Elephas maximus indicus: one gene and its partner. The protein of the gene in region 2 purifies or fractionates together with the protein of the main gene of each other region. This does not show direct contact. Links are inferred from orthologs where the notes say so. Each region holds a gene or a part of one and is shown on either strand. Other genes may lie near its edges.

Region 1 (15,381 bases), on a different chromosome or scaffold from region 2:
ATCCCAGCCCCTAGGAATGTGTGTGTTGGGGGTGCCCAGACCTCCCGGCAGAGGGGAAGGGCACCTCGCCCAAGGGAGGAGGCAGCCGTGCCAGCCTGCCCAGGCGCCAGGGGTGCCTCTAGGCATCGGCCCGCCTCCTCCGCGCCCCATCGGGCCGGGAGCGAAGTTCGACCCAGGCCCGCTGGCAGGCGGGGACCTGCCAGTCTGGGCTGGGCAGGGCCGGGCCAGCCTGGCAGGACGCGGCCCCACAGCGGCTGGGCGGGGCCGGGCTAGGCGGCCGTGGGGGCTCCGGGGGCGGTGGCCGGGGCTGGTCGGGACTAGCCAGTCCGGGGGCCCGGGCGCGCCCTGGGACCTGGCAGATATTGGTGCTCCTAACTCCTGGCTCGCGGCCCCGGGACAGCGCTGGCACCACCCCTTCCTGTGCCCTTATATGGGCCTCGGGGAGAGCTACTCCCCGGGCGGCCCCGCCCCCAGTCCCTGCTGGCGGACTCGGGCCGTTACCATGGCGACCAAGCCCCGCTCCCGGGCTGCGCCCCCCTCCGTCGGGATAATGGAAAGGTCTCCGTTTTGCCTTGAAAGTCGTCTGCAGGCGCCGCGAGCGGAACCACTGCTGGGGGCGGGGGAAGATAATAGGAGCTCTCTGCGGCTGGGCGGGCCCCGAGCGCTCGGGCCTCGGCGGGGGTCTCAAGCCCAGGTTCCTCTTCTGAGGCACGGAACCCGGCCAGACCCAGGGCGGGGTGCACGGTCCGGTAGGATACGAGTGACGGAGGCAGGGCCGGGCTCCTTCCCCGGGGGCTGTTGCCACACTTCCTGCCGCCACGCTCTTTCCCCAGCCTGTTTCTAAGGAAGGGAGTGGGGTTGGGCGACCGCGCCCCGGCCATCGGGCTGGGTCCAGGCTCCGAAGTTGACACGGTGTAGGGCAAGCCCAGGGTCAATGGGGGAGGCCATGGAGCTGGGGACAGAGTATTCGGGCGCCGATGGGTCACTACGAATGGGGTTGCGCTAGTCATGGAAGATTCGGCACAGCCTAGTCCCCAGGATCCTGGGAGCCCCTTCCTCGCACATCTCAGCTGGGGACCCTCCTGCCATTGTCCTCTGATTTGAATATATGTTCCAACCCTTCTAACTCTCCATCATGGCTTCACAGATTACCCCGGTGACTCCCCAACCTAGTGCCCCTGACAGACATATTCCATTTTCTACTCCACGTATTTTCCCTGGCCAACTGTACCCGAGGACCCGCATCCCTTTATGCATATCTAAATTTCCCCATCTTCATTCCTCCCCCACTTAGGCAGGGCCCTCAGATTGTCCCATGGATGCCAGCATCCCTCCTCATTTCTGGTATAATGGGTCCTCCAGCTTCTCCTCTTGTATCCTTTTTAAGCGTTGCCTTTCTTCGTTTTTCTAAGTCCCTCCTGTGAAAAGTTCCGGAACCCCCACTCAATTCCTGTGCCAGGCGTTTCCCCACCCCTTCCCATTTACTCGCTTTAACCCTCTTCCCCTTGTTTTTTTGGGCTCCCAGGGTATTATCAGAGTCCCAACCCCTCTGGAATACTTCGGGTCCCTCAGGCCTTTCGCTTACACCCTGGGATACCCGCCCCCACTTCCTCTGTACCCTGTCCTCCTTTTTCTCAGGTGTACTCCAAGGGAGCCATTGCTCCTTCTCAGCCCCTCCCCCAGATGCCTCGTGTCCCCCAGCAGATCCTTCCTCGCGTACTCCGGGGTCCCCCAGCCCCTCCCCTGCAGCCGCGCCGAGCCACACGGCCCATGGCCGCTGTTTACAAGGACACGCGCTTCCTGACAGTGACGCGAGCCGCCTCCTCCCCTTCCCCACGCTCGAAGAGGGGGGCGCGGGGGCCGGGCTCGGGCGACCGCCAATCCGAGCGCACTTCCGCAGCTGACAGCTCATATAAAGACCAGCCTCTCTGCTCAGCGGCCGGGACCTTGAGCGCGGCCAGGCCACCTTCGGAATCTTCAGGGAACGGGGAGCGGGGGCAAGCGACACAGAGAAAGCGAGCGCACTAGAGAGGGCGAGGAGGACACGGGAAGCTGGGTAGAGCTTTCGCGCACAGCCGCCGGCTGGCCGCTCCCCGCCCGAACCAGTCGCCGGGAACGCGCGTTCCGACAATCAGTCCGGTCACCGCCGCGGACAGCGCACCGGTCGCTGCAGCGAGGCCCCGGGCGGCCCCGCAGGGACCACCCCCCCCGCCCCCAAGCCCGCCGGGCCGCCCGGATGTGCACTAAAATGGAACAACCTTTCTACCACGACGACTCATACGCAGCAGCGGGCTATGGCCGGGCCCCTGGCGGCCTCGCTCTACACGACTACAAACTCCTGAAACCCAGCCTGGCGCTCAACCTGGCCGACCCCTACCGAGGCCTTAAAGCGGCCGGGGCGCGGGGCCCCGGACCAGAGGGCAGCGGAGGCAGCAGCTACTTTTCCAGCCAGGGCTCGGACTCGGGCGCTTCGCTCAAGCTCGCCTCGTCGGAGCTAGAGCGCCTGATCGTCCCCAACAGCAACGGCGTGATCACGACGACGCCCACGCCACCGGGACAGTACTTTTACCCCCGCGGGGGTGGCAGCAGCGGAGGTGCAGGGGGTGCAGGGGGAGGTGTCACTGAGGAGCAGGAGGGCTTCGCCGACGGTTTTGTCAAAGCCCTGGACGACCTGCACAAGATGAACCACGTGACGCCCCCCAACGTGTCTCTGGGCGCCAGCGGAGGTCCCCCGGCCGGGCCCGGCGGCGTCTACGCGGGTCCGGAGCCGCCTCCGGTCTACACCAACCTCAGCAGCTTCTCCCCGGCGTCTGCACCCTCTGGCGGCGCCGGGGCCGCCGTCGGGACCGGGAGTTCGTATCCGACGGCCACCATCAGCTACCTCCCACACGCGCCGCCGTTTGCCGGCGGCCACCCTGCGCAGCTGGGCCTGGGCCGTGGCGCCTCCACCTTCAAGGAGGAACCACAGACAGTGCCGGAGGCGCGCAGCCGCGACGCCACGCCGCCGGTGTCCCCCATCAACATGGAAGACCAGGAGCGCATCAAAGTGGAGCGCAAGCGGCTGAGGAACCGTCTGGCGGCCACCAAGTGCCGGAAGCGGAAGCTGGAGCGCATCGCGCGCCTGGAGGACAAGGTGAAGACGCTCAAGGCCGAGAACGCGGGGCTGTCGAACACTGCCGGCCTCCTCCGGGAGCAGGTGGCCCAGCTCAAACAGAAGGTCATGACCCACGTCAGCAACGGCTGCCAGCTGCTGCTCGGGGTCAAAGGGCACGCCTTCTGAGCGCCTCCCCGCTATGTACGGACACCCCCTCCAGCCTGGACGGCTGGGCGCACGCCTCCCAGGGGGGGCGAGGAGGCAGGCGTGGACACCGGCCCCGGGGCCTAGGGGCGCCACAAACCACACTGGACTCTGGCCTGCTGGCTCTCGCCCAATCCTTCCACCTCGACGTTTACAAGCTGCCCCTTCCACGTTTTTGTATGTTTTTTTTTCTCTTCTAGAAACAGACTCAATTCATATTGAATATAATATATTTGTGTATTTAACAGGGAGGGGAGGAGGGGGCGATGGCGGCGGAGCTGGCCCCGCTGCCTGGTACTCAAGCCCGCGGGGACACTGGGGAGGGGACCTCGCCCCCTGCCCTCCCCCCTCTGCACTATACTGTGGAGTGGAAACACGCTTGGTTTATTTTAAGATGTGTTTGTGTGTGTGTGTGCGTTTATTGTTCTGACTTTTTATTGAATTTATTTAAGTAAAAAAAAAATAGTTCTTTATTAATTTCTGGAGTCTTTTTTTCTAAGCCGGGCGGGCGGAGGGAGGAGAGTACTGGGCGGCCCTCACCCCACCGCTGTTTGGGGCTCACTCCAGTGCCTGCATCCCCCTCTCCAGCCCTGTCCAGCCATCTTAATGTCCCAGCCTAGCGGTCCGGCCCTCATATCCTGAGCTTGGTGGTCCCCGGGGGTTGGAAGGTGCGGGACGCGGTCAGTGTCCCAAGGGCGCGACGCGAAGTGCGCAGACGCGGCCCGCCCAGCCCCGCGCGCCGGGGCTTTCCCCGCTGACGCAGCGGAAGCGCTGCCCATACATGGACCGATTCTGCCCAGTGACGCGCTGGCGGTCTCCGGGCAGATTCCGGGAATCCCCTCCCCCGCTCTGCCGGGCAGGGCCGCAGCGCCGGGAAGGGGGCCGGGATTTTCCCGGGCAGGCGTCTGCCCGGGCCCGGAAAGCCCCAGGCCTGGGTCCAGAGCGCCCGGGGTGGGCGGGCCGCGCTCCCGGGCCCCGGGAACCACCCGCAGACTCCCCCATTAGGCTGGCGCCGGAGCCTGGTCGCGTCCACGCCCCCTCAGTCTGACCTGACCCAGGCAGGGGATCGCTGTAGCCTCCGCGCCGTTGCCGCCGCTGTCCTCCACCCTGCCCCCGCCAGGAAGGGCGGTGCCCGCCTGACTGTTTCCCCTCCCGGGTGCCAGGCCGAGAGCGGGGTGACTGCCAGGACTGGTCCTGCCGGGGCAGCTGCTTGGGCCGCCGGGCATCGCCACCGCCCTCGCACGGGGCTCCCTCCCCCGCTACTGGAACGGGTGGGGGGCGGCTGCGGCAACAGATGGAAGCCTCCAGAGCAGCGAAGGAAAACAGAGAGAAACCAGGCCATAGGGGTGGGGTGCGTAGAACAGGCACTTCACTAACTCGTTTATAAAATACTGAGCAGAGTCTGGAGACGTAACCTGGACCACGGCAGACAGGCAATAAACAATCAAACATTCCGTGATGGTGGTAAGTGCTAGGAAGAACAAAAAACAGATCCAGGTCGTAGAGTGATGGAACCATAGAGGGTGTATTGAGAGGGTGGACCTTTAGCGAGGCAATTTTTCAGCAGATTTGAAGGAGGTGGCCTGGAGAAAATCCCGGGAAGAGTGAGTGTGCGAGGCAGGGGGAACAGCACTTTTGAAGTTCCTGTGGCCAGAATAAAATCAGCCTGTTAAGAAACAGCCAGAAACTCAAGGGTGGCAAGAATTGAGTGAGCCACAGGTGGGGTAGATGAGGGCAGGGAAGGCCAGTCAGGCCTCATAAGCCTTGGAGGGGAGCGTAGATTAAATTCCGAGGGAGATGAGTGACACTTGGAGGGGATTAGGCTGGGTAACAATGTCAATAATCTGTGGGTTAAATGTGTATATCAGCCTAGTTCTGTGGAAGGAAATTGGGGCTCAGAGTGGCAAAGTCACTTGTCTGATCCTACACAGCATCAGACTATGCAGCAGCGTGGTAACCATTGGGAACACTGCCTTGCTCCTAACACCTGCCCCTTGCCTAACGCTCACCCTTCCACCCTTCACCCTGTCACCCTTGCCAAGGATAGACAGGCAGCCCTTCCAGGCTGGAGTTGAACAGAGCCTGCAGCAGGGGCTGGGCATGTAGCTCAGGACTGGGTCCCAAAAGACTGGACTCGACTAGGCTCTGTCCTGCCAAAGGCAACCATCCTAGTAGCCATTCACTGGGCCTTAAGCAGGGACCCAGCCCTGGGCTTCACATTATCTCCTTTAAGCATAGTGATATGGCTTGATTGTCTTTACTTCCAGTCACCCAGGGAAGATCACAGCTATTAAAGGGCATTTGAACTCAGACTGGATGATAGCAAATTATGGGTTCTGCCTTGGAAGGCCAAGTTTCAAGATGTAGAACATCCTGAGACTGCTCCTTGCCAGGGGCAAACAGCATCTTCTCCTCCCCACCACTCCAGAACTGCCCTCAGACCGAGGAAAAGGAGGGAGAAGAGTTAGCAGTGACCATGAGGTAAGGTTGCCATCTTGTGGTAGAGATAAGTAACTTCAGGGTCAGTTTCCCAGGCCGGAGGCTGGAGAAAGCACATGGGAGTTGGGGGCACTGCCAGGACAGATGACACCGACACAGATTTGCACCTGTCCTAATAATTTATTGGTCTCCTTAGGTCTGTGCCCCGATGGGTGGGCTCTGGGGAGGGAGGGTCACCATCCATCAGCTTCCAGGTGGGGGCATGAGAGGGCCTTAGCCCCACCCTCCAGGATCCCAGATTGGGGAGTTTCAAGGGGACAGGTCTGGCCTTTCCTGGGTCAGCATGGGGCACCCATGCAGGGGAACAGGTGGGGAAAGAGGGCCCAAACTTATTCCCTGCCTGCTAGTCTAGTTGTGTTTAGAGAAGTATTCCTTGCTGTCATCCACGTTGGGCTTGATGGTGTCGCTGCCCGGCTTCCAGCCAGCGGGACATACTGTGGGAAGACACAGACATGTGTGAGCCCCAAGTTCAAGGCAGGGACAGTAGTAGGGGACTAACAGAGGCAAAACAAGAGCCTGAGTTGAAGAAGAAAAATCCTGGGCCTAGTGGTTCAGGTCCAGGAATACACATGTTGATAGAAGTCCTCCATTCAATCACCATTCTATCATCTGTGTTTACCCTCACAGGCCCAGCTGTAGTATTTTCTGGCTAATAATTTTCCTGTTTTTATCCTCATTTTCTTTTTAGGCCCTTCAACCCAGTCTCAGTCCCTCAGCCTAGCCTTGCTTGACTTTGAGTCTATGGCCAGACTATCCCTTCCACATGAGAAGGTTCTCTGATCCAGCTAACATTATTCAAACCTGACTCAGTATGCACCGCCTCAAATACTTTCTATGGCTTGTATTACCTCCCAGTTCTCCATCCTTGTATTCTATTGGGGTATCTCTCCCGCCACATGAGGCATTTCCTGAAGACAAGGCCCTGAGCTGAATCGCCTATGGGACCCTAACATTGCCCTGCTCAGGTGGAAGGGCTGACAGTAAATGTTTGCGTGAATGACAGAGGAGCTGTGTGTGAACTATTCACCTTCCCCATGCTCATCCGTGTACTGGAAGGCCTGGACCAGCCGCAGAGCCTCATCCACGGAGCGCCCCACAGGCAAGTCATTGACTGTGATCTGACGAAGGACACCCTTTCCATCAATGATGAAGAGACCTCTGAAGACATCAAGGCTCATGGTGAGGAGCTGGGAACTCCCAGGACCAGAACAGGGAGCACCCACCTCTTGCCAGACACAGGGTTGGGAGCAGAGAGGGCGTTGCCCAAGCATGGTCCCCTCACCCTGGGGATGAGGCTCCCTGAGCCTGACTGAGGGCTTCACTGTACCTGTAAGCGATGCCCTCATCTTCCTTCAGCACACCATAATCATGGGACAAACTTCTGTTCACGTCAGCCAGCAGGGGGATGTTCAGGGGGCCCAAGCCTCCCTCCTTCCGGGGAGTGTTGATCCTGGGGGTTGGGAAGACGGGACTGGCACCACAGGAGGCCCGGCACAGCGGGGTCCTCACCCTTTGGGCCCGGGTGAGATAAGTATGGGGGGGGCCCTGGAGGTGGGAGATAAGGGGCTTTAGAGCAGAGCCCTGGGAGACACACCCACCCCGCCCTGAAGTGTGTGCAGGGGCTGTTTCTGGTGCCTGGGAAGACTAAAGCCTACAGACTGGCACTCCAGTTCCAAAGGAGTGCCTTCACACATGCTACTGATTTCCAGCATAAGGGGGGGGAACATGTGCTAGAGTCCTGGTGCTCCTCTCTAGCCCTGTAACTTGGGGCCCAGCCCTTTACGCCCTTGAACTGGAGTTTCCACCTTCACAAAATGGGGCAGTACAGCCTCCCTCCCAAAAACTATGTGAGATAAAACGTCTGCGACTCTGGGCGACAAGCAACGAGTTTCCAAATGCTAATTACTGTCATCATCGTTAAGAACTGGGTGTCATTATTTCCATTATTTTCAGGATGGGGAAAGGGAGGCCCAGAAGTTGAGCAATGGTCATGCAGCCACACAGCTCAGACCCTAAGGTATGGGCCTAGCGGCATACTACCCTCCTCCTGTGCTCCCCTCATACCAAGCCAGGTGAGTGAACTGAGAGTCCACAGAGGCCCCCAGCACCTCGCAGCCCAGCTTGCGGAAGTCTTCAGCATGTTCGCTGAAAGCGATGATCTCGGTGGGACACACAAAGGTGAAGTCCAGCGGATAGAAAAAGAGCACCACGTATTTCCCTGGGTGGGTAGGGGTAAACGAGGAGTTAGGGCCCAGACCCCCTTATGCCTGGGCCAGTTCCCTGGGCCTCCTCTAGGCTGTCCTCACCTCTGTAGTCCGAAAGCTTCACCTCCTTGAAGGCTCCATCCACCACTGCAGTGGCCTGGAAGTCAGGGGCGGGCTTTCCGATGTGCGCGTTGCCGGAGGCCATGACTGAAAGCTGAGACCCCAGCCCGGTCAGCCCGCCCGGGAAGACCTTTTGTCTTCCCTTTCCAAGGTCATGCTGCGTGCGGGGGCCCCGTTAGAGCAGCACAGGCAGCAACACTGATCCCCGCCCTCCCTGGTACCAGGTCTACGCGATATTGAGGCTACTGGGAGCCGCCCACTGACCAGAGCACCAGCGGCCCGGCCGCTGCTGCCTGACCCCCCTTAGCTTGTTGGCGCAAGCCCCCAGTCCCAGTAGGAGACAACGAAGCCCCCGCGAGCAGGGGGGCGGGGAGCCCGGCGATCCGGCCTGTACTCCAAGGCTCCGGCCTCGGTTTCCCCCTCAAGGACAAAGGCGGCTACTGCGGCGGGAGGAAAACAAAGGCAGCCAGCGATAAGGTCCGGATAGGGCCGGAGCTGCTCGAAAGGGGCTTCCCCCAGCCGGGTGCACACCCGGTGTCTATACCTGCGTGGGCTAGGGCTGGACGCAAGGACAGCCAGACGGGCGGACTCTGGATCTCAGCGTCACGAGCACCAGGGGCTGCGGAGCCTTTTATGCGCGGCCCGAACCATGACGCGCAGGGCGTGGCGGGGGGGGGGCGTGGCAGACGAACGGAGCGGTCGGGTCCACTGAGTCGGGCAGAGAGGGGAGCGCAACCGGTCGGCTCCACGCACCGCGGGCGGCTGGGGAGACCTGCAGCCGCCGGCCGCGACCACCATGCAGGCCCGCGGGGTTAGTGAAGGAGCTGCGGGTCCACGTGAGGCTAGGCCCGGGAGCGCGCTGTGGGCGGTTGGAATCTCGCATGGCCCGGAGCCGGGCGGGGCTGCTTCTGCTGCCTCTGATACTCCCGCTCCTGGCGACGCCTGTCCAGGGGTCCTACGACTACCAGTACTTCGGCGATCAGGGCGAAGGCGACACTTGGGAGCAGCTGCGGCGGCTGCAGCAACCGAAAGGTAACCGCAGGTGGCAGGGGTGACGACCCCGAATGATGTTTCCATGACCCTACTTGGCCAGCCGGCTGCAAGGAGACCTCCTCCCACGAACTCTAGATTCCCGCCTTACTCCTCCCTGGCGGTCTCTCCTTGGGCTGATTACTTTTCTCTGAGACTCAATTTTCTCATCTATAAATTGGAAAAGAGGCTGACTTTAAGCAGCTCACAGCTGGAGAGGGGACGTGGGCAGGCAATAAGCACAGAAGCAGACATCCATAAACTCATGGGTAGGTGCTAGGAAGAGCAGAGATAGAGACAGGAGGGGGCGGGTAAGCTTGGAAAGTCACAGAAGGCCCTGCTAAAGAAGATATATAACCAGTGCAGCTGGACTGACAAACAAAAGCCAAAAATGCAAGGACTGGGTGGAAGGAGTGTGCCAGGAAAGGGGAACAGCATGTACAAAGGCCAAAAGACCTAATGGAGGAATGGAAAGAGGCCAGGGTGGTGGAGGCTTGGTGAGGAGAGAGTTGTAGAGGACGTGATCAGCGGGCCCTGGCCTTATGAGTGGTAGAATCAGGATAAGACCTGTCTCATACGGGCATAGGGAGGAACCAGCAGAAGAGCTTTCGTAAAGAACATCCACTAAGTGCTCCATAAGTGATAGCTGCTTTAAAAGTGATGATTAGAATTCTTTTTGTTCTGTGTGCTAACACAGTGCTAGGGGCTTTAAGTATCTTCATTATATCATTTAATTAGTCATTTAATTCACCACCTGACAGCTCTGCTGGTCTGGTGGCATGGTGCCCGCTGAACAGGCCAAGGCCACCTCCCTCAAGGCCGCAGTCAACTTCTGAAGACAAGCACCAAGCACCAAGCACCAAGGGTGGTGTACCATACTCCCAGCTGGGCGGGTTGGCGCAGGTGGGAAGTGTCAGTTTGCATCCCGCTGGGCCACTTGTCAGATGTGTGACCTCAGAAGGGTGGCTCGCTCTCTCTAGGTCTCAGTTTCTGCACCTGGCTCTGTAGCTAGAAGAGGGCATAGGGGGATTGTTCCCCTCTACCTGGGTCTTCATCTCAGCCCTCCACCCCCAGACGTGGAGGACTCGATCCTGAGCCCGTGGGGAAATTGGCGCTGCCTCTGCGACCTGGGGAAGGAGGAGCGCAGCCGCGAGGTGCAGGGTACGGCACCGGCCCCTGTGTTCATGGATCGTGAGAACCTGGTGCAGATGCGGCCCTGCCGGCAAGGAGATTGTCCATCCTGCAAGCTGATCCAGTGCAACTGGAGGCCCTGAGCCCGCGTGAGAGACTGGCGCAGAGGGGGCGGGGCCTAGGGGGCTGTCAAGTTCAGGGACGTGAGTTGCAGGAGTGGGGCTCGCAGAGTGGAAGGACTGCGTGGGGTGGGAACCCAAAGCCAACGAGATTGGCCCTGGTAGGGAACCAGGAGCCACAGGCAGAAGGGGACAGGAATGGGGACGACGCAGAGGGGTGAACCGGGACCTTGAGTAAGGGACGTTAGCCTGGTGAAAGGCCTTGACGCACAGACCGAGAACGATAGCCCGGCTGAAACCTGGGGATAGAGGGAGAGAAGCGGTAAGGATCGCAGACAGGACTGAGAGAAGTGAGCTTCGCTGAGACTGGGGGACTGAGGAAGAACAGTGGGGGGTGGGGGTGGGGGAAGGGGAGGGCATGAACCTTGAATTGGGGGAATGAGCCTGTATAATGAGTGGAAGCCCTGAGCCCGAGATTGTAAACCTTTTGGGCTCTGGGATTCTAATTCGAGGGACGGGGAGGCTCAGCCCGAGTGAGACAGGGTGGGAGGCAGGGACCCTGTGGGGGGCAAGGATCCTGATTCCAAAAAAGTGACTGAGACAGGGAGGGTGGGGACCCCAAGTATAACGGCCTGAGCTCACGTAAGAGCGGGGGTACCTAGTTCAGGGAGCTTAGGCTGTGTAGGTGGCAGGGATTTCGAATATAAGGGCCTGAATCCAAGTGGGGGACGGAGCCCCAGTGATGCTGAGGCCCGTGTTTGGGGAGCGTAGTTATATTTGACCTTTGGAATCGACTCGACGGCACTAGGTTAGACCCCTACAGGGCTGGGTCCTCCATGCCCTGCCTCAGTTTCTCCCTTTATTTCCCTTTCCTTCCACCAGCTCCTATGGGCGGGGGTCCGGAGCCGGCAGAACGCAGGTTGGATAGGGGCCCAGTCTACCCCGTTCTTCACCAGAAGCTCTTCGCTATCGATCTTGAGAACTACAATTTCCAGGAAGCTGAGCGGCAGCGGCGTCCGCGTCGGCTGCGCGAACGTCAGCGGCGTCGGGCGTGTGTCCTGTGCGCCGATTGGTCCCGAGTGAGCGCCGCTGCTGAGCCCGCGCAAGACGCGCGCCGAGGCCTGCGCTTGCAGCCGGCGGTTCTGCGGCTGGCACTGGCGGCAGAAGCGGCGGCATGGATCTCAGCGACCTGGAGAGAAACAATACGGGCCGCTGTCGCCTGAGTTCACCTGTGCCCGCGGTGTGCCGCAAGGAGCCTTGCGTCCTGGGCGTGGATGAGGCGGGCCGGGGCCCTGTGCTGGGTGCGCCACAAGGGCCAGGGGCGGGGGAGGGGCGTGAGAATGATGATGGCCATGGCATTGTGCCAGTGGACGAAAAAAGCGGTGGTGATAGAACAGGAATGGGGGTTTTCACGATACTCGCTGCTTGGATTCGGGAGCCACCCCCACTTCCAGAAACCTGACACCTCTCCTCCCCAGGCCCCATGGTCTACGCCATCTGTTATTGCCCCTTGTCCCGCCTGGCAGATCTGGAGGCCCTGAAAGTGGCAGGTGAGCCCGGGGTGTCGAGGGAGTACGTCTTGAGAGGTGGTTCCAGGGTATATGCAGGGCAAGTGAGAGCTGGAGGAGGGCAGGAAGTGAGAGAACCAGAAACCTTCTCTCCCAATCCTCCCAGACTCGAAGACCCTGTCGGAGAGCGAGCGGGACCGGCTCTTTGCGAAAATGAAGGAGGACAGGGACTTTGTGGGCTGGGCGCTGGACGTGCTGTCTCCAAACCTCATCTCCACCAGCATGCTTGGGCGGTGAGGGGTCTCCCCACCCCCAGAGTGGTCGGGATGGAGGTGCAGCCAGCTCTCTGGGGGAGGTAGAGAGCATGGGGAGGTTTGGCTCTGTGGCTGCAAGGGGTTCACTAGGCTCTGCTCTTAAACCTCAGGGTCAAATACAATCTGAACTCCCTGTCCCATGATACGGCCGCTGGGCTGGTGCAGTATGCCTTGGACCGGGGTGTGAAAGTCACCCAGGTGAGCCTAAGTATTTTGGTACCTGGGTTGCCCCCATTTGATCACCTCTAGATAAAATAGGGGTGAAAAAGTACAGTGGGCAGGTTCAGCATCAGAAGCATGGCAAGTGCCTCAGCAGTGTTGCTTCCTGCTGTTGACTTTCTACCCCTGTTTCTGCCTGAAATCCATGTCCCACCAAGGACCAGCGTGGTTCTCTCAGTCTCCCCTCCCCCAATCTAATCAGTCTTCCTAAAGACTTAGTGTCCAGAACAAATCCCACATCTGTCCACCTGCCCACAGCCTCCATCCTGGCCCAGGACACCCCCACCTGGACTCCTGCCCCAGGCTCCTCCCTGGTTTCCCCGCCTCCACTCCTGTTCCCTCTTCTGTCTGACATTTAATTTACTAATTACAAGATTTAAATCAGGAAAGTTCAGAGTTGAGTAAGGAAGAGGTTAAATTACTACAGAGAAGCATGAATCAACATTACATTGAGTGTACGGAGGCAAAGAACAGACTGTTTTGAGACAACGACAAGGGGGAATACTTGAGTTGGGGAAGGTAACAGGGGAAACCTCCCTGAGGAGGTAGCTGAGGCCCATCCCCAGCAGGAGGAGCTGGCAAGGCAGCCCTGGAGCAGACAGACGTAGGCCCTGCTCTCGGCTTCAAGGCCTAGTGAGAGGAGATGGACGATCAGCTGGTAAACTAAAGAATAAAGGTAACCTTTGAGAATGGTGACTGCCCTGAAGACATCACTTGTCCCTGTTACCTTCATGATCTTATTTCTCAGCATTCTATTCCAGCCTTGTGGCTCCCTACTGTTCTCCAGCATATTTGATGTGGTCCCACCTCATGGCCTTTGCACTGGCAGTTCCCTCTGCCTAAGCACTCTTTCCCAGATCTCCACATGGTTTATTCACTCACCTTCAGATCTTTCTTGAAATGTCATTACCTTAGAGAGTGCTTCCTTGAACCTCCGTTACCGCCATTTAAAATTATAACCCCTTCCAACTCTCCCCTAGGATTTATTATTTATCTTGTTTCTTGTTTGTGGCCCTCAGGGTGTCTGCTTCACAAGGAAGGGATTTTTATTTCCATGTCCCTGGCATCTAGAATAGCAACTGGCACACAATACGTGTTCTGGGAGGTGACCTTTGATCCAAGACCCCTGATATGAATTGATAAGAAAGATCCAGGCTGGGGATAAGCTGGAAGAAGAGTATTCTGGGCAGCAGGAACAGAAATGCAAAGGCTGTGAGGCTGGATAATTTGCACAGCTGTTTTTTGGGGTGTTGACCGAATACGTGTCTGTTGCTGTGATAGGTATTTGTGGACACTGTGGGGCTACCAGAGAAGTACCAGGAGCGGCTACAGCAGCGCTTTCCTGGAATTGAGGTGACAGTCAAGGCCAAGGCAGATGCCTTGTACCCCGTGGTCAGTGCTGCCAGCATCTGCGCCAAGGTCAGCCCCCATTGGGCTTGGGCCAGCTTCCAGCACCCCAGTGGGCAGGGGGTAGGCGCTGGTTGTTGCAGGGGAGGGAGATTCCAAGTGCCCATCTTGCCCACAGGTGGCCCGAGACCAGGCAGTGAGGAGCTGGCAGTTCGTGGAGAAACTGCAGGACGTGGATGCTGATTATGGTTCGGGCTACCCCAATGGTAAGCAGACAGTGGTGCAGCCTGCCTCTGGAGTTGCCTCAGGGTAGCACCAGCAATACTAATGCCAAGTTGGCCAGGGCTGAGCATGCTTCTGAGGTTTTCTAAACTGTTCTGGTAATCCTATTCTACAGCAGAAGGGGCTGAGGCCCAGAGAGGGGTGCCACTTGCCCACACCCACACAACCAGTGTGCAGCAGAGCTGGCCCTCCTCCCACTTTGCTGTTCTTTGGAGCCCCAGTGAAGGGCTGAGACCCAAAGTGGGCACCTCTTCACCCATTAAGGGGAAGGGACGCAGGCTGTTGTTAAACAGCTGTTGTTTGAATGCCAGCTCCACCATTTTCTTCCAACTCTGAGGCTCCGTCTCCTCATCCATAAGTGAGAGTGATCATGCCTCCCCTCGCCACACATAAGGGGAGATAAGAAGTGGCTGGGTTCAAGGAATCTTCCCATCCTTCTCTGAGGCCCAGAGAAGGGCTGGCAGTGGGGTGGGGCAGCACAGCCAGTTTGTGATTGGAACTCGGGTGAGAGGCCAAAGTGAGGAAATCAGGTCCCTGCCAAAGATAGTTTGGGCATCCATTCTGCACTTTTGAGCACCTGGTAACATACCATGCAAGGCCAAGCCCTGGGGGTAGAGCAGTGAGCAAGACAAACAAGGACCTCCCTACCTCTCCTGAGCTCATCATTACTTGCACAGCTAGATCAACAAATGTTAATTCCTTTTGTCCTTGGGGGGGTCAGGGAGATCTCTCAGCAGCAGTCTCCCTAAACTGCAACTTGAGCAACTCTTGGTCAGGCAAGTGAAGGGGGGTGGCCTGTGCAAAGGCAGAAAGATGTGCAGTGGAAGGTGACTCAGGTGTGCAAAAGGAGGCCTAAGATGAGGTGGCAGAGCCTCAGATGCCAGGCTGAGGAGCTTGGATATTATGGTGCAGCTCAGGGGCCATTGCCCACCACATACCCCAGATCCCAAGACAAAAGCGTGGTTGAAGAAGCATGTGGAGCCCATCTTCGGCTTCCCCCAGTTTGTCCGGTTCAGTTGGCGCACAGCCCAGAGCATCCTGGAGGAGGAGGCGGAAGGTGTTACATGGTGAGTGCCCCGGTGGTGCTGTAGGAGTGGAGGGAGGAGCGGGCTCAGCCCTGACTGGAGGGCTGGCATCCCCTGGAAAGGGTCAGTATTGTCCCCTCTCTCCCACAGGGAGGACTCCTTGGCAGAGGATCAGGAGGGACTCAGGAGGATCACGTCCTACTTCCTCAGTGAAGGCCCCCGTCCCCGCCTCCCCCACCGATACTTCCAGGAGCGTGGCCTGGAGTCAGCCACCACCCTCTAAAAG
Region 2 (16,242 bases):
TCCAGCTGATATAATTAGCTCACTCTTCATCAGCATCTCTCTCCTACCCACTGTCCAGTCCCTTCCATGTCTGATGAGTTGTCTTCGAGGATGGTTCCTGTCCTGGGCCAACAGAAGGTTTGGGGACCATGACCGCCGGGATTCCCCTAGTCTCAGTCAGACCATTAAGTCTGGTCTTTTTATGAGAATTTGGGGTCTGCATCCCACTGTTCTCCTGCTCCCTCAGGGGTTCTCTGTTGTGCTCCCTGTCAGGGCAGTCATCGACTGGGGCCGGGCACCATCTAGTTCTTCTGGTCTCAGGATGATGATGTAAGTCTCTGGTTCCTGTGGCCTCCACAGTGTTTTTGATGGGTGATTTTTTGCTAGTTCTTTCTTCTGAGGCACCTCTGGTTGGACTTAATCTGCAACATTTCAGTTAGCAGCTAGGGTGTTAAACATTTTTACCACCCAGGGAGCCCAATTCAAAAAAAGGACCAGGAATGAAGGCTGGACTTTTATTTCCTCCTTCCTGTTGGCTGGACTATGGATTTGACGGTTGGAAGGCTGGAATTCAAGTGGCCATAATGAATCTTGAGATTGAAGCCACATGTAAAAATGGCAGAGCAACAAGACGGAAGGAGCCTGGGTCCACGATGATTATGGAGCTGCCATACTAGTCCTAGATTGTCAACATTCAACTGCATATCCATGAGTTAAGCATTGTCAACATTCAACTGCATATCCATGAGTTAAGCTTCTGTCTTAAATCACTGATATTTAGGTTTTTTGTCGCTCCCAAGCAAATCTAGGTATAAGTCAAACTGACTGTGGTCAAGTTTATGTTTAAACAATGGGGTCAATATCCAGAAAGCTGGAGAAAAAGTAGCTTCTCATTCCGCCTTCCCTCCCTTCTTTCACTTCTTCACTCTTTCCCAAAATAGGTGTTGATTGTTTCCCGTGTTGCCCACCTGAGCAGGGCACCTTACCTGTGTTAAGTAAAAAAGCATACTTCCTAGCTCAAGAAGGGAGAGTTGATACAAATATAAATAGCACAGCAGACCGATGTACATGTTTATTGACACCAAGAATCTATGCATCCACACAGATGTTACCTAAACTTCTTCAGATGTTACACAAACACACACACACACATACATCCTCTTTATCTCTGCTGTCACTATTTGGTGCCCATGTAGCCAAACCCCACCCAGGACCAGCAGAATGTGGTCCCTTGGGACCAGCAGGCTCCAGTGCTCCTGATCACGGGGTCAGCGTGGCTGAGGTCCAAGTCTGCTCTAGGCCAGGAATGCTGGGACCTCTCCAAGCTCTCTTTCTCTCTGAAGCTCAGGTTTGACTCTCTGGGGCTTGAGGAAGATCCCCCTGGAAAGGTCTGGCTGCTTCTTAACCTCTGAGGCTTCGGGGGCTGAAGGAGGTATGGAGAATCCCAGGGGCCTGTAGACAATAGGTAATAGGCAGTGTCATTATCTCCATTATACGGATGAGGATAATGAGGCCCTTGACAGGTGTAAGCCACAGGATTCACTAACGACAGGGCTGGGACCCAACTCCCAGTTCCTCCCTTCCTGGCATACAGGCTGCATGGTGAAGAGTGAAGATTCTCTTTATTTCTTTTCTAATAACCACTTATCGAGCACTTACTCCAGACTAGGCACTGTGCCAAATGCTTTACATAACTTGTTTCACGTGTTCCCCATAACCATCCTATGAGGTGGGCTGTATTTTATACTCCCACTTTAGACATGAGAGTAGTAGGGGTAAGGAAAACTAAATAGCCTGTCCAAGATCACCAGTGTCTAAGACAAGTTGAGATCCACGCCTGGGTCTCTGACCCCGAAATCCATCCGAGAAACCCACCAGGCGGGGGAGGGGCACACTTGGAAATCTTGGAAGGGCTTCGGTGTTCCTTGAGGCCCTTAAAGAGCACGTTAGAGTCCATGTGTGCGTGTGTGTGCGCGTGCCTGCATATGCAGTTTCTAAGGCAAAGGTCATTCATTGTTCTCAGCAGCTCCGCAAGGGAACTCTTGACCCAGAAAAGGCCCAGAACCACTGATGCTGAGTAAAACCCTTGGCTTCTGGGTCAGAGATGCTGTGGCTTTTGGCAAGTCAGGCAGGGGACAGGAAGGCAAGAGTTATTTGGGGATAAGATGGGGGGATAGTTCAGGTTTTTTTTTTTTTTAATGTTTTACTGCTATATCTCTTGGTCCTTTGACCACTGACAGACCAGGAAAGCCATGCCCACTGCTCAGGGCCTCTGGTCCCAGCTGAAACCTGGCCTGTCTGCCCTGGAAACAGGGCTCTGCCAGACACTCTTGCTGTGCACCATTTGATCTCAGGCCCTCCAGCACCCAGAGCAACTCACAGGGCAGGCCCCGGGACCCTGCTCTCCCAGGACACCCAACCCCCACGAGCTGAGCCATGCGGTCAGCAGCCAAGGGCACCCAGGTCAACACCCCAGGGTCCACTGTAAAAATGGCGGTGCAGGGGCTTCTGACCTCTAACTTCACAAGGGGCAAGAATCAAGATCAACAGCCCAAGGCTAACTGCTATGAGGCAGAGGGCAGACATACCTCCTCTCCAACTTTTTTACCAATTTTGATACCAGCCGTCCCTCCCACGGCACTACTTCTCTGCTGGGTTTGATAATTCGTTGCAATGGCCACACAGAGCTCACAGACCATACTTAAAATTTATTAGGGAAGTAACAGGTTACAATTCAGGCTCAGGGATGACTCAGGATACAGTTCTTCAGCCAGGACAACTCCTCAGCTGTGCCCACAGGCAGGCCTCCTCCTGGCCCCTTGCCCTCTGTCCTGCTCCAGCAAGTGTTACAAAGCTCTTTAGCTCTAACAATAAGTGCCCGGGGCCACCCCACACCCCCAGTAAGCCTCAGCCCGAAGGCACTCAGCTTTCTCACTCTATGGGCCAGGAAGCCCACCACTCCATCTCCTGCAAGTCTCTTGGTTCTGCTGTTGCTGGTTCTCTGCCATGCTTGCTTCCACTTCTCACCGTCTCACGCCATCTCTGGCGTTACAGCTCTCCCTCTCTGCCTCCTGGGTCTAGGAGATTCTCAGTGCAGGGACCCCAGGTCCAAATGACCAGCTCCACTCTCATCTTTTCTTGCTGGTAGTGAGGTCCCCCATCCGCCTCTGGGATGGCTCATTTTAAGCCAAGCAGGATGGGAAAATTGACCATCCCTTTGTTAGTGTTCCATACACCTTATTTGCATGGTCCCACCCCAACAAGAGTGCCATGCACCTTATTTGCATTATTAGCAAGCTACCCAATCCCCTTGGTGAGCCAAAAGCACCTCATTTACATAATCCCACCATCTGGTGGGGCTATAAGACTATGGCAAGAAAAGCCATATAAAAGCAATCCATCGCATTGGACACCCCAACCCCTCTGGGCTGCGTTCTAAAGGGCTACCCAGCCCCTAGAAGCCCCCTTCCACCCCCATTCCCGGCCCAGATGTTCAACATGATGCTGAAGGGAACATTCCTCTCAGGTGCCTCAGTGGGCCTCGACCAACTCAGATAAAACCCCAGGAGTGGAGGAATGGGCAGCTGAGTGGCAGAGATGGGGGCTTCCTGTGATAGCAGGGCTGCAGAGAAGGGGTCGAGGATGCACAGCAAGGGACAGGCTTTCTGACCATACTTGACTGATACAGACGCTGCTGGTACTGACTCAGGAACTCCCTCCGCCTGGAGCTCTCAGAGGGGCTCAAGGCCAGAGAGCCTAACCCTACTGGCTGCTGTGGACCTTGGGGGAAATGCTACGCCTCAGTTTCCTCCTTTGCACCCGTGAGGGGGACAACCTCTGCCTTGGGGTTATTGAAAGGATTGAAAAATGGTGCCCAGGAATGAAAGGGTTTTTCCACCAAGCACACCAGCAAGGACCCAAGGTTTGGCAGGGGAGGAGAAGTGGGCAGGTTACACGAAGGCTTGGGAAGCTGGAGAGACGTCAGCCCTGCCCTGGCCCAGGACCCCTCAGGGACAGCAGCTATGGGAGAGACCAAAATCAAAAAACCAAACCTGTTGCCGAGTTGACTCCGCCTCATAGTGACCCTAGAGAACAAAGCAGAACTGCCCCATAGGATTTCCAAGAAGCAGCTGGTAGACTGAAACTGCCAACATTTTGGTTAGCTCCTGAGCACTTAACCACTGTGCAGCGGCAGAAAAAGGTAAGCAGGTGGGAAGTCTTGGGCAGGCTGAGTCCATCCTTTTCCTGGGTGCTTTTTCCATGAGGACATAATTCCAACCACCCAGGCCCCTGAGCCTCTACCTGGTGGCCCCGTGGACTCACCCTCGCTCCCCAAATCCAACAGGTCTCCAAGTCCTGGCTGCCATTTCTGGACATCACTTGTCTCACTGCCCCTTCCCACCCCATGGCTCCCCCTCACCTCCCAGCTGGTCCCGCTCCAATTCTACCTCACACAGTAGCCCAAGTATCAATCTGACCTGTCACTGCCCTGCTTAAAGCCCTTCAATGGCCCGAAGTGCCCACAGGATGAAAGGCAAGCCGCTTACCAGGCTCAAAGGGCCCCTGACCTCCCAGCATCTTTATTCCAGCTGCCCCGAAAGCTACAGTAGCCTGATTGTCCCACACCTCCATGCCTCTTTCTGCCTGTCCCCACTACCTCAGGGTCATTTCCTCAAGCAGCCTTTCCAGACCTTCTCGATCTGAGTGAGCCAGCTCTGGGGGCTGAGTCCCAGAGACCCCTGGGCAGGAAGCAGTCCACAGAACACACATGACATCACTGTTCAAATCCTGACTCCACCTGCTCGTGGCCGCAGAAGCCTGGCCTGTTTACTTAACCTTTCTGTACAACAGGGCGGGGACACATCACACCTCACAGGCTTGTTGTGAGGATTGAGTCGCTACACCTGAAGCTGAAGCGACTTGTTGTGAGGATTGAGTCGCTACACCTGAAGCTGAAGCGACTTGTTGTGAGGATTGAGTCGCTACACCTGAAGCTGAAGCGACTTGTTGTGAGGATTGAGTCGCTACACCTGAAGCTGAAGCGCTTAGCACCCTGCCTAGCAACAGTAAACATTCAGCAAGTGTGCACACCTGGCCAGGACCTGGTGGAGCATCACTGCCCGCTAAACGCACACAGCCTCCAAGGGCCAAGAGCCTGAGGCCCATGGGCAGGGCCTGCAGCCCCTCACAATACACCCACCACCTGCATCTTCTCTCTTCCACAGCTCAACTACACAGACTCCTCTCTCAGGAAACCCACCTGAACTCAACTGGCCCTGCCTCCACTGAAATCCTTTCTGCCACTGAGACGGTCCCCAGGTGGGCCCTAGAGCTGAGATTCTTGGCCCTGGGGTTTATGGGCCTCAGGGAGATCAGCCAGCACTTGAGATCACACAGGTCGTGGATATGCCGGGAGCTTGTGTTAGCCTCGGGGGCCCTCCCTGGCTTCCAAATAGATGTTTCATAACACCCCCTTCAAGAGGACATCCCTGACTACCCCTTATTTAAATCTAGGTTCCCTACGTTTAATCCCTCCCACCCCTGTCCACTCCCCTCACAGTTCTCAGCTCATTCTGACTATGTCATAAGGCCTGGTCCCCAGAGAAGCAGCAATTCAGAAACAAGGAGGCGAATGTGAACTACAAGTGTTTATTGCAGAAACATGGCCAAGGTTCCAACCGAGTGACCCTCCTGAGGGTGAGCTGGGCCTCCTGCTTAGGGCTGGGCAGGTAAGACGAGTAGAGGATAGAGAGAGTGCATCTGGGCCCGGGGCCTCAGAGCTGTGCGAGGATGTTGGGGGCCAGGCTGCAGGTGAGGCCTGTGCCATCTGGCTCCACATTCAGGGCCTTCACCACGCCGTCCTCTATTACCATGGAGAATCTGCCAGAAAGAGGGGCCAGGCTAGTCAGATCAGACTGGGCCTGGGGGCTGGGAATGGACAGAGGAGGGCTGGCAGGAGCCAGGGCCCCAGAGGACCCTCCCACTCTTACCTCTTGAGCCGATGATTCCCAAAGAGTGGCACTAAGGAATCATCTAATAATAGATCGGTCGCCTGGCAGGGGGGAGGCGGAGGCAGAGAAAAGGGTCAGGAACTCCCAGAATGGGCCCAGCATACCTCTAAGTCCCTGCTCCCAAGGCCTGGCACAGAAATCACCCCATAGGGTGAGAGGGGGTGCACACTCACCTTCCCAAAGGCCCCAGTGGGGTCAGCCAGGAGCCGAACCTGAGCAGAAAGAAAATAAAGGTCACCAGGAAAATCTCCTGCCTGACCCCTGACCCTGGCAGGACCTGCACCTCACCTTGCCTTCTGCGTGGTGGGTTTTCCCCCATTCACCAGTCACAAAGACATCATTGACACTGAGACATGCCACCACCTGGGCTCCCTTGGCCTCCAGAGCCCCAGCCTGCTCCACGAACCCTGGCAGGTGGGTCTAGGGAAGGAAAACAAGGAAGGGTCAACAAAGGGATGATTGCCCCTGCTCCTTGGCCCTCCCCTTCTCTCCCCTCCTCACTTCCCTGCTTCAATTCCTTTGATCAAAGAGAAGTATGCAAAACTGCCCTATTTCCTGTTTGCCTTGGCCATTTGGAAGCTCAGATTCAAACTTAACACTCTGTAGTCAAGACCATAAATGTCCCATGGGCAGGAGTGCCTTCCACAGTGCCTGCCATCCAGCAAGACCAACAAAAGGTGTTGAGTTTAACTGCAATAATCCTTTTTGCTACCTTCCTGGTACTGTTATCTTTTGACAGCCACTACTTACTTCCTGAATGCTAATATACTTAAACTGCTGCTAATACACTTTAAGCCGCCTCAGGGCTTTGGAAGGACACACTGACTTCTGAGCAATAAAAAACAGGCACAAAAGACCCAAATTCCTGATCCCCAGGAGGGCAGGGCCTCACCTTCGAACAGCCTGGAGTAAAGGCTCCAGGAACTCCAAACAGCACACCCTTCTTGCCCTTATACAGCTCTGCCAGGTTCACCTTGTTCCCAGGCTCCCCTTCAAACACCACCACTGACGGGAGGGCATCTCCCACCTAGAGGGAAGGGCTCCAGGGTTAGGAGTCAGGAGGCAAAGGCTAAGGGAGGGGCAGCAGAGCAAGGCCAGGAGGGAAGAGATTGCCTGGTGGCTGGGCCTGGTGGAGCCAGCTGGAAAGTCCAGTCCTGTCAGTTTTTAAATGTCCCCCCCCGCCACCCTCCCCCTCCTGATCCCACCCAGACTACCCCACATCCTCCTGGCCCACAGATGTCTGCTGTTTCTAAGGGTGTGTTGGTGACACCAGGGAAAGGGACAGAAAGCCTCCCCAGGTGTCGCAAGGGGTTGAGTAAACAAGCTGTCTGGGTTATGGGAAATGAGTAAGATAGATGGGCAAGGGGAGGAGGTGTGACGGGGGCCCTGACAATGGGGAAGGAAAGGATCATGGCCAGGCCGAAAGCGCCGCCACCCTGCAGCAGATGGGGGATGGACGGTCTGATGCAGAAATGTAGAATAAAAGCCTTGAAGGGCTGCATGGGGCTGGGGGAGGCAAAGACAAAAGGGAGTCTCTAAGGGGCCCAGAGTTTGGATGTGGGATGTAGAGGCAGAGCGGATCTCAGAGGGTGTGGGAGGGAAAGGGGGGAAGGGACTGTGGGTGGTTTCAGAGGACGAGAGGAGTAAAAGACTGAACAGAAAGATGAAAATTAACTCTGGGTAGAGGGAAAAATGTCGCGGAGGAGAACGGGCAAAAAAAAAAAAAAACAGGCTCTGAGGGTCAACAATTGTTTAAGCGGGGGTGGTGGGGGGGTGAAGAGCGATGCCTTGCAATGACAAAAGTGTGGGATAGGTTACGGTGGGGAACCTGCGGAGAGTGGGGAGGGAGCCCTGGGGCGAAGGAGATGGTCCCAGAAGATGGGGGAACGAGAAGGCCCTAGACTGTTCCCGGACAAAAAGGGCACGAAGCTCCAAATTGTGGCGAGAAAGGGGGTGGGAGCAGTCAGGGCGGTCTTGATGAAGGGTGAGGGGACCAGCGGCGGGAGGGCTCCGAAGGGCAAAACAGAGGGTGACACCCCCAGACGAGTGGGACGGGTGGCGGTTCTGGGAAGAGACGGGGTCGGGTCCGGCCAGGCAGGCGGTCACCTTGATCGGGGCCATGGCTGCGGCTGCTCTGTTGAAACTGCGAGTCCCGCCAAGCGTCCACTCTCCTCTTCCTCCCGGTCGCCGTCCTGCTCCCACCGCTGCCGCTGCTGCAGACTCAACGACGGCCGCCCCACTGAGCACCAAACCCGCTGGACCGCCCAGAACGCGCAACCCCGCCAGCCCCATGCCCAGCCCTGCGACAGCAACCGCCAGGTCTCTCGGGCCGACCCCCGCAGGAGGCGGGGCCCGAAGCGAGCGAACCCCAGAGCCTGTGAAAGGTGGGGCTTCTGCTCCGCGGGCCTCCAGCGACCGCCCACCGGCCAGTAGGCTGCAGCGCTGGGGACCAAGCTACCGCGACTCCGCTTATTTGCATACGGGGAGGGGCCACGCCGCAATTACAAACGGGGCGGAGCACTCGGCAGTCCCGCAGCTATTTGCATAAAAGGGGAGGTCCCGCTCTATTTGGATGGAGGGCGGTCAGGCGCCTGTGTGAGAGGCAAAACCACGTTTATTTGCATTCAACGCGGCCCCCTGCACCGCAATTGTTTCACAAGTGACTTACACTCCAGGAGCCGGGGGAGGCTGGGACCCGCCAAAACCAGTGGGCGTGCGCCGCAGGAGCGGACGCTTCCGGCGGCGGCGCGTGATCCGACGGTTTCTACGGCCCACAGCTCTGGCGAGAGGCAAGAGTACTTCCAGCAAGCTCGCCGCTTCCGGTCCTCCCGGCCGTCCAATGGGATAGAGTGGCGCAGCCCCGGATGTGACGCACGGGGTGCGGGCCTTTTTCCGGCTCCGGTCTATGCCCGAGCGCGTAGTGGCGACATGAAGCTGCTCACCCACAACTTGCTGAGCTCGCATGTGCGGGGGGTGGGGCCCCGCGGCTATCCCCTGCGGCTCCAGGTACCTGCCCGGGGTCCTCTTGCGCCTCGCCCAGGTGGGATGGGGAAGCAGGGGTCCCGTCCTGCCTAACTCACCGATCCGCCCTGCAGGCCACCGAGGTCCGCATCAACCCCGTGGAGTTCAACCCCGACTTCGTGGCGCGGATGATACCCAAGGTGGAGTGGGCGGCTCTTCTGGAGGCGGCAGATACCGTGAGAACCCGCCCGTGGACACCCCGGGGGTGGTCACCCCGCTCCCCCGGGACCTGGCTCTGGCCCGAGGGGGAAGGTCAGGGATGCCCAGACATGATTTAGGCCTCTTGCCCGCAGTTGCATCTGGTCGAGGTCCCCAAAGCGCCGACTGAGGGATACGAGCGCGATGAAAAATTTCTGAGGAAGATGCACCACGTGCTGCTGGAGGTGAGACTGGCGCACCACCTTCTCCCCCCGTTACCCCGCCCCAGGCCGCCAGTGTCAGCTGTCACCCCTCCCCGCAGGTGGACGTGTTGGAGGGCACCCTCCAATGCCCAGAGTCCGGACGTCTCTTCCCCATCAGCCGCGGGATCCCCAACATGCTGCTGAACGATGAGGAAACCGAGACTTAAATTTCCCAGACACCCCTTTTTCGTTCGGGAACCGTGTGTATCTTTGCTTTTTTGTATATTGTTTGCTGGCTTTGTCGTGTGCATCTTCAACCGTCCGCCCAGTGACACACCGAACAGAGTGTTCTTGAGCTCGATAGGATATATTTTTTTTTATCATTAAAGTTTCAAAACCAAAAGCGGTTTCTCTTTGCAGCAAATATACATTAAAATAGAGTCTCTGTACAGCCAAAGGCTCTGGGCCTTGGCTTGCCCCATGTCCCTGCGCCTCCCTGGCCAAACCAAAAAATAAATATAGTGTTATTGCTCTGCAGGGCATAGAGGCAGTGCTCTCCCTACCCCCTGAGGAGGCCGGGTAGGAGCTAATGGGGGCTCTGGCCACCCCAGGGGGTCCAGGGGTTGGAGCCTGCTTGGAGTTATTGCTTCAAGGGGCGGGGCAGTAATGCCCAATGCAAATGATGAGGAGAGGAGCGAAGGGGGCAAGGCCTTTGCTTTCCAAGTCCCCCTCTGCTCTGGAGGGGGGGGTCGGATTAAGCAGCAGCAAAAGCATCACCCACTGGGAGACTGTAGTCTCCACCCCCTTCCCTCCCTGAGATCAGGCTTCTGCCCCCCACACCACCCCTGGAGCCCCGTATGGCTTCCGCAAGGCCCCCTACACTCTGGGGGCACATTATGGCTTGCAAGGGGCAGCACTGCCCACAGGATGGGCACACACATTCCCAGCTTCTGACACCCCCCTGGGGAGGGGAGGATGTGGGGCCTGCTCCCAGGGGCTGATGGCATTGCCCTGGCCCTGCCAGCAGGCTATGGCACTGCCCAGGCCCCAGCTCTACCCCCTTGGGGCTGAACCCATGCTGGCAGGTCCTGCCAGCACCCCCGCCTGTGCCCACCCCCCGCCTCAGTCCATCATAGCCTCGAGCATCTCCAAGAACAGCTTGTGCATGGGCACCTTGCCCTCCAGCTTCACCCCATAGAAATGGGCCAGCACCTTGCCCGCTGTCTGGCGAAGGAGTGGTAGTGTGAGCAGCAGCCTGCCTGCCCGCCGCCGCTCGGCACCCCCTCCAGGGCCTGCCCGGCCAGCTTCATACTCCAGCAGGGCCTCGTGCAGGGCTTCTCGCAGCTGCTCCACAGCCTCAGCGTCCTCAATGTGCACAGAGTCTGCAGAGAGGGGGAGAACTTGTGACTTGGGCCATCTCCGGAAAGAGCAGAGCCCCCATCTGCTTGGGGTGGAGGCTCCTGCCAGGGGCCCGCCCTTTCCCACTCAACTATAGCTGCCTCTGGTCCTCCCTGCCTTCCCTTCCTCCCCTTCTTTCCCTGTGAACAGAGCCCTAGGGTTAAAAATCACGCGTACAATTCCTGGCCCTGCCCTTGGCTTGCTGTGTGACCTTCAGAAGTCAGGGTTCTTCCCTGAGTCCTGTTTTCCTTATCTGCCAAATGGGACCCTGTTGCCATCACAGCACTAAAAGCTGGAGGGCCCTGTGGAGAGACCCATCAGTGCCCACCCCAGACTCACCTGAGTTGGCAAGGGCTAGGGCCTTCAGCAGGACATACTCCTCGCGCTCGAGCCGTAGGGCCTGTAGTCGCCGCACCAGCTGCAGCAGGGCGGCCCCCAGCTCCCCTAGGCCGGCTGCCCGTGCCCCTTCTTCATCCAGGACCAGGTCCTCGGCAAAGGCCAGCTCATCCTGCAGTGGCAGCGAGCGCTGGGCCACACCCAGCACCAGCACCTCCATCCACACGCTCTGCAGCACTGACATCTGGTCAGACAGCGACAGCGACGAGAAGCCTGGAGGACAGGGGAGCAAGCTTCACTGAGCAAGTGTGCAGAGCCAGGCATGGTCTGGCTGACCCCAGGGTACCCCAGACCACTGGGCCCTTTACCTGGGATGCTTTTGGCCCAGCTGATGGTGACCACAATCTCTCGGTCAAAGAGGTCACAGAGGGTAGCCACCGCTGGGAGGTGTCCATCGGGGCCTGCTGGGTCGGGCATGGCATACAGCTTCTCAGGCTCGACCACCAACAAGTGAGACACCAATGCATTCACTGGGGCTGCAGGGACAATTGGGGACTACTCAGGGGCACTCAAATTCACCAGGCCCTTTAGGGTTAAGCATCTTCCCAGAGTTGGTCCCCCTGTGGCCTTCCTCAATGGCTGCTGACCAGCCAGGCACAGACACTGCCCTCCAGGGAAAGGCTCTAGCTACTTCCAGGGGAAAGCCAGGCTCTGAGTGTTAGGAAACCCTTCCTGTCCCCAGTTCTCCTATAACTGATACAGGAACAGCATTTTCATAAATATTTCTTAGAGAAATGAGTGCATGAATAGATGGGGGTGAATGATGCCACAGAGGCTTCTTGTGTCCCAGCCCCACCCCAGCCCTGCAGCTTCAGGTATCCACGTGCACTCACCTGATTTCCGGGGACCTCCAGCTACTGCCAGAGGGCCGGCAGGGAAAGGGCCTGGGAAAGGCAGCGGGTCCACTTCTGGCCGCCGCTTGTACTTTTGTCGTCCACCCCGAACACGGTCCAGACGCACCCCTGGAATTGTAGGATAGGACTGTGTCCGTGAGGTTGCCCTGTGGAGCCCTCCCCAACAGGCCTTGTCCATCTTGTGCGCCCAGCTCCCTCCAGCCTCCCCCAGGCCCCTGCCCAGCGCTCACCCTCCTTGAGCATGCCCACCCGCAGGCACTTGGTGAAGCGGCAGGCCTGGCAGGCCTTGCGTCTCCGCTTGGTGATCTCGCACTCGTTGGAGGCCGGACAGCTGTACTCGATGCTCCCTGCCAGGAAGAGGCAGGGCTCCAGTGGCCGCCACCCAGGGCCTGGAGGGGGCCCAGCCTACAGGAGAGCCCTGACTGGCCAGTCAAGCACAGGTCTGGGGGTGTGGGGAGGAAAGGGAGAGCAGGAGCTCCATGAGGGGCAGGAAGCCCACTGGGCTGGGGCCTCTGCGTGGGCAAGGGATGGCTGGGGCCCGGGGAGTCAGCCCGCACCTCTGCCCTCAGGCCATTCGGCCCTCATCTGCTATCAAGGTCCCAGTGACCTCCATGCTGCTAAATCCAGTGGTCACGTCTCAGTCCTCATCTTGGCCTAAAAGGCACATCTAATACCGTTGATCACTTCCAGCTCCTAGAAGCACTTTAACATGTTCCTTTGCTCCTAGAATACCACACTCTTCTGGTCTTCCTCCCACCTCACTGGCCACTTTGCGATCTCTGTGCATCTCTGACCTCCTTCCACCGGAAACCCCAGGGCTCTGCCCTTGGGCTTCTCCACTCACTCCCTTGATTGAAAGTCACGAGGGCTTTCAAATTTCTGTCTCTAGTCCAGACCTGCCCTCAACTCATCCAACTGCCTCAACATCATGTGTGTCTAGAAAGTATCTCAAACTTACACATCCAAAGTGGAACTCCTGATCTGTGCCCCAAAGCCCGCAACTCCATCTGTTCAGACGCTCAAGCCAGAAACCGAGGCGGCATCCTCCGTGCCTCTCACAGCCCACAGCCAAACTGCCCACAAGTCCTGGTGGGCCTCACCACCCTTATACCCAGGATCTGACCCCTCCTGCCTGTCCACTGCTTCCACCCTGTCCTGAAGCACTGTCCCCTTGCCATCTTGCAGGCTGTGCCTCCTTCGGCCTACTCTCAGCACAGCGGCCGGGGTAGGGGGGACCTACAACCCCAAGTCAGATCCTGTCTCTCATCTGCACTTTTCAACATCGTCCCTTCTTGGAGTAAAAGCCAAAGTGAACCCAATGGCCTGCAAGGCCTACCCCCCTCTCCCTGTCACCTTTCTGACCTCACCTCCCTGTCTGCACCCGTTCCGGATCAACCGGCTTCCTGGGTGCTCCTCACACAGGCCCTGCCTCAGGGCATCCTGTCACCTCTGACTGAGCGGCTCTTGATAGCCACACAGGCTCCTTGCGTCCTTCAGGTCTCTGCTCAGTTGTCCCCTCGGGAGGCCTTCCCTGGCCATCCTGCAATGGCAAACCCCCACTGCAGACACCTCTTGTCCTCTTTACCCACTGTTATAGTTTCTTTTCAGCTCATAGGACCAACCAATATGCTACATATTGTGCTTATTCATGTTCTTTATTATCTGTCTTCCCACTTTAGTGTCAGCTCCATGAGGGCCAAGATGGTCCCCAGTCCCCCGTGGTATGAACAGGGCCTGGCCCCACAGTTGTCATTGTTGTAAACTGCCATCGAGTTGGCCCCCTGACTCAGCAAACCCATGCTTAACAGAACCAAATGTTGCCCAGTTCTGTGCCATCCCTGTGATCGGTTGCAGACCAGGCCATTGAGATCCATAGGGTTTTCACTGGCTGATTTTTTGGAAGTAGATCACCAAACCTTTTTTCCTAGTCTTAGTCTGGAAGCACCGCTCAAACTTGTTCAACATCATAGCAACATGCAAACCTCCACTGACAGATGGGTGATGGCTGCATGTGAGGTTCACAGGCTGGGAATTGAATCCAGGTCTCCTGCATAGAAGGCGAGAATTCTACCACTGAACCACCAGTGTCCCCTGGCCCACTGTAGGCATTCACAATTACTGGTGGCCCTTGCAGCTATGATGGGCTATCACAGGGACCAAAACGATACAGCAGTCCACAGGTCGGTGGCACATTTCTCCCCACAGTGCATTTTCTCCTATACCCTATTAGGGCTTCCATGCTCTGATCAAGACACCTCCTCGAGGAAGCTCTCCAAGGCCCTGGACCCAGCCAGGTCCCTCCGTACACAACCTGTACGTCTTCCTCCAGCACTCGCCTCAGCTGTAATAGAGCAATCTGTACAGCCCATTGTTCCCTATCTCTCCTCTCTGCTAGACTATAAACTGCTCAAGAGCAGAGCCCGTCCGGCCTTGGTCCCAGCTCTGTCTCCATGCTGGGACAGTGGCCGGGGCAGCAAAGCACAGATTTGTGAAGGAGGGCTCTAGAGGCTGCTTGGGGCCCATTCTGATACTACCACTTACCACCTGTGTGACCTTGGGCAGGTTCCATCCCTAACCCACAATTTTCCCATCTTATTACAAAGCTGGGTTGTGAGAATTAAGGGGGATAATACAGGTAGAACGTGCACATGGGGCACTGCACCAAAGTGCTCAATAAATGGTAGCTACTATTTATAGCTGGGGTTCAGTAAGTATTTGTCAACTGAGTGAGCAAAGAGCAAAGAGTCCCAGGGTGGGTAGGAAACACCTAGACCTGGTCTGTTTGCTCCTTGGTATTCAGAGCCAGGAGGGAGCACAGAGGGTTTTAGACCAGTGGATCTGGGCCAGGTCAAAACTCGCTGGAATGTCACAATCAGTTGTGAGGCGTCTGTCCGAAGTTCAGTTATTAGTAATAAACAGGCAGGAGTCTGCTGAAGACCTCAGCTCTGGACCTAAATCAACCCAAGTTCAAATCCTGGTTCCACCATTCTCTACCTGTATGACTTGAACAAAGTCCCCTCCTCCCCCCACCAAAAAAAAAAAAAGAAACTTTCTGAGCCTCAGTTTCCCCATCCTGTAAAACACGATGACAATAGTGCTCACACCTTACGGGGTTCCTGTGGAGGCTGATCCTAAAAGTAAAAGGGCACCATGCCTGGCACAAGGTAAGCACTGGAGAAATGTTGAAAAAAATATATGTTCCAAAGTAACCAATGGTTTAAGTAAACACATAAATAACAGGCATATTCCCAGCCACAGTTACATCAGCATCTTGCCCACGCACTTGTATTTTGATATGTTTTCCCAAGCAGGAAAAATGCAGTGACTCTGAAGAACACGGATGCCTCATAATCTTTTTCAAGTTGGATATGGAAATACGCCGTAGCCCCCCTCAGTCACCCATAAAAGCCTGCCTTGTGTTGGTGCTGCTTTGGGGAAATCGAGAAAAAAGGGGGCATGTTCTATGCTACGAGAGGTTGGCAATGGCTAGAAGCAAGAACTGAGATGAGGAACAGGCAGGGCCTGCCTTGAAATTTTCAGAGCCACTGTGGACCCAGAGACCTGGCAGGCATCCTTGACTCCTGTCATACCCCCATCCATTCCATAAATCCTGGTGGGCTTTATTGAACTTTTCAGGGAATGGGTGTTCCTAGGAAGTGGAAGCGCCTGGGAACACTAGACTGACCATGGTAGCCTGGGGGCCGCTGCACCCAGCAGGGCACCCAGTGAGTGGCGTGAGGCCCAGTGGGTATAGGGCAGAGGGCACAGGGGTGGGGGGCTCACCCTGGATGGTCCTTTTGAAGAAGGCTTTGCAGGCCTCACAGGACGCCACGCCGTAGTGGTAGCCGGAGGCCACATCCCCACAGACCAGGCACAGGCGCTTGGGCAGGGAGCTGAGCACCAGCTTCCCACCGCCCTGCTCGCCAGGCCCAGCTCCCTCCCCATCCTCCTCCTCCTTGTGGCCTGGGAGGCATCGGGTGGGAGCTGGACCAGGGGCCAGGGCCACGGGGGGCTCAGGCTCAGTCTCCGAGGAGCCCTTTGGGCTGTCAGGGCTGGCTGGCTCCGCCTTGATGTAGAGAGGCTCAATGCCCACCACCTGGCTGGACATGGCGCTCGTCACCTGCAGAGAGATACCCATCATGTTCCAGGGAGGCACTGGGATGGGGGATGGGGAAGAAAGACACACTGCCACTGGGTTGCCCAACCCCGGGCCCAGGGCCAGGCTACCAGGCTCAGTGAGGG

What was found.
Region 1: the proteins of PRDX5 (region 2) and PRDX2 fractionate together in Homo sapiens (co-fractionation; 3 studies listed by BioGRID). This does not show direct contact. The link is inferred for Elephas maximus indicus from reciprocal best matches to the Homo sapiens genes PRDX5 and PRDX2.

Annotation. Positions count from the first base shown.
Region 1 is NC_064821.1:31,493,723-31,509,103, forward strand, and holds PRDX2 (peroxiredoxin-2), read right to left. Parts: upstream 8,207-15,381; coding exon 8,104-8,206; intron 8,016-8,103; coding exon 7,862-8,015; intron 7,248-7,861; coding exon 7,125-7,247; intron 6,956-7,124; coding exon 6,825-6,955; intron 6,232-6,824; coding exon 6,146-6,231; downstream 1-6,145. Other genes in the region: transcription factor JunB, read left to right, coding at 2,237-3,280; THSD8 (thrombospondin type-1 domain-containing protein 8), read left to right, coding at 9,003-9,153, 10,225-10,424; RNASEH2A (ribonuclease H2 subunit A), read left to right, coding at 11,575-11,701, 11,879-11,950, 12,075-12,201, 12,333-12,420, 13,723-13,860, 13,967-14,054, 15,014-15,137, 15,246-15,378.
Region 2 is NC_064825.1:127,488,116-127,504,357, reverse strand, and holds PRDX5 (peroxiredoxin-5, mitochondrial), read right to left. Parts: upstream 8,440-16,242; 5' UTR 8,283-8,439; coding exon 8,097-8,282; intron 7,018-8,096; coding exon 6,883-7,017; intron 6,411-6,882; coding exon 6,279-6,410; intron 6,203-6,278; coding exon 6,164-6,202; intron 6,032-6,163; coding exon 5,970-6,031; intron 5,860-5,969; coding exon 5,754-5,859; 3' UTR 5,615-5,753; downstream 1-5,614. Other genes in the region: TRMT112 (multifunctional methyltransferase subunit TRM112-like protein), read left to right, coding at 8,919-8,996, 9,086-9,187, 9,290-9,394, 9,472-9,579; ESRRA (steroid hormone receptor ERR1), read right to left, coding at 10,475-10,734, 11,090-11,359, 11,455-11,622, 11,980-12,108, 12,231-12,347, 15,784-16,242. UniProt on the Homo sapiens protein: Thiol-specific peroxidase that catalyzes the reduction of hydrogen peroxide and organic hydroperoxides to water and alcohols, respectively.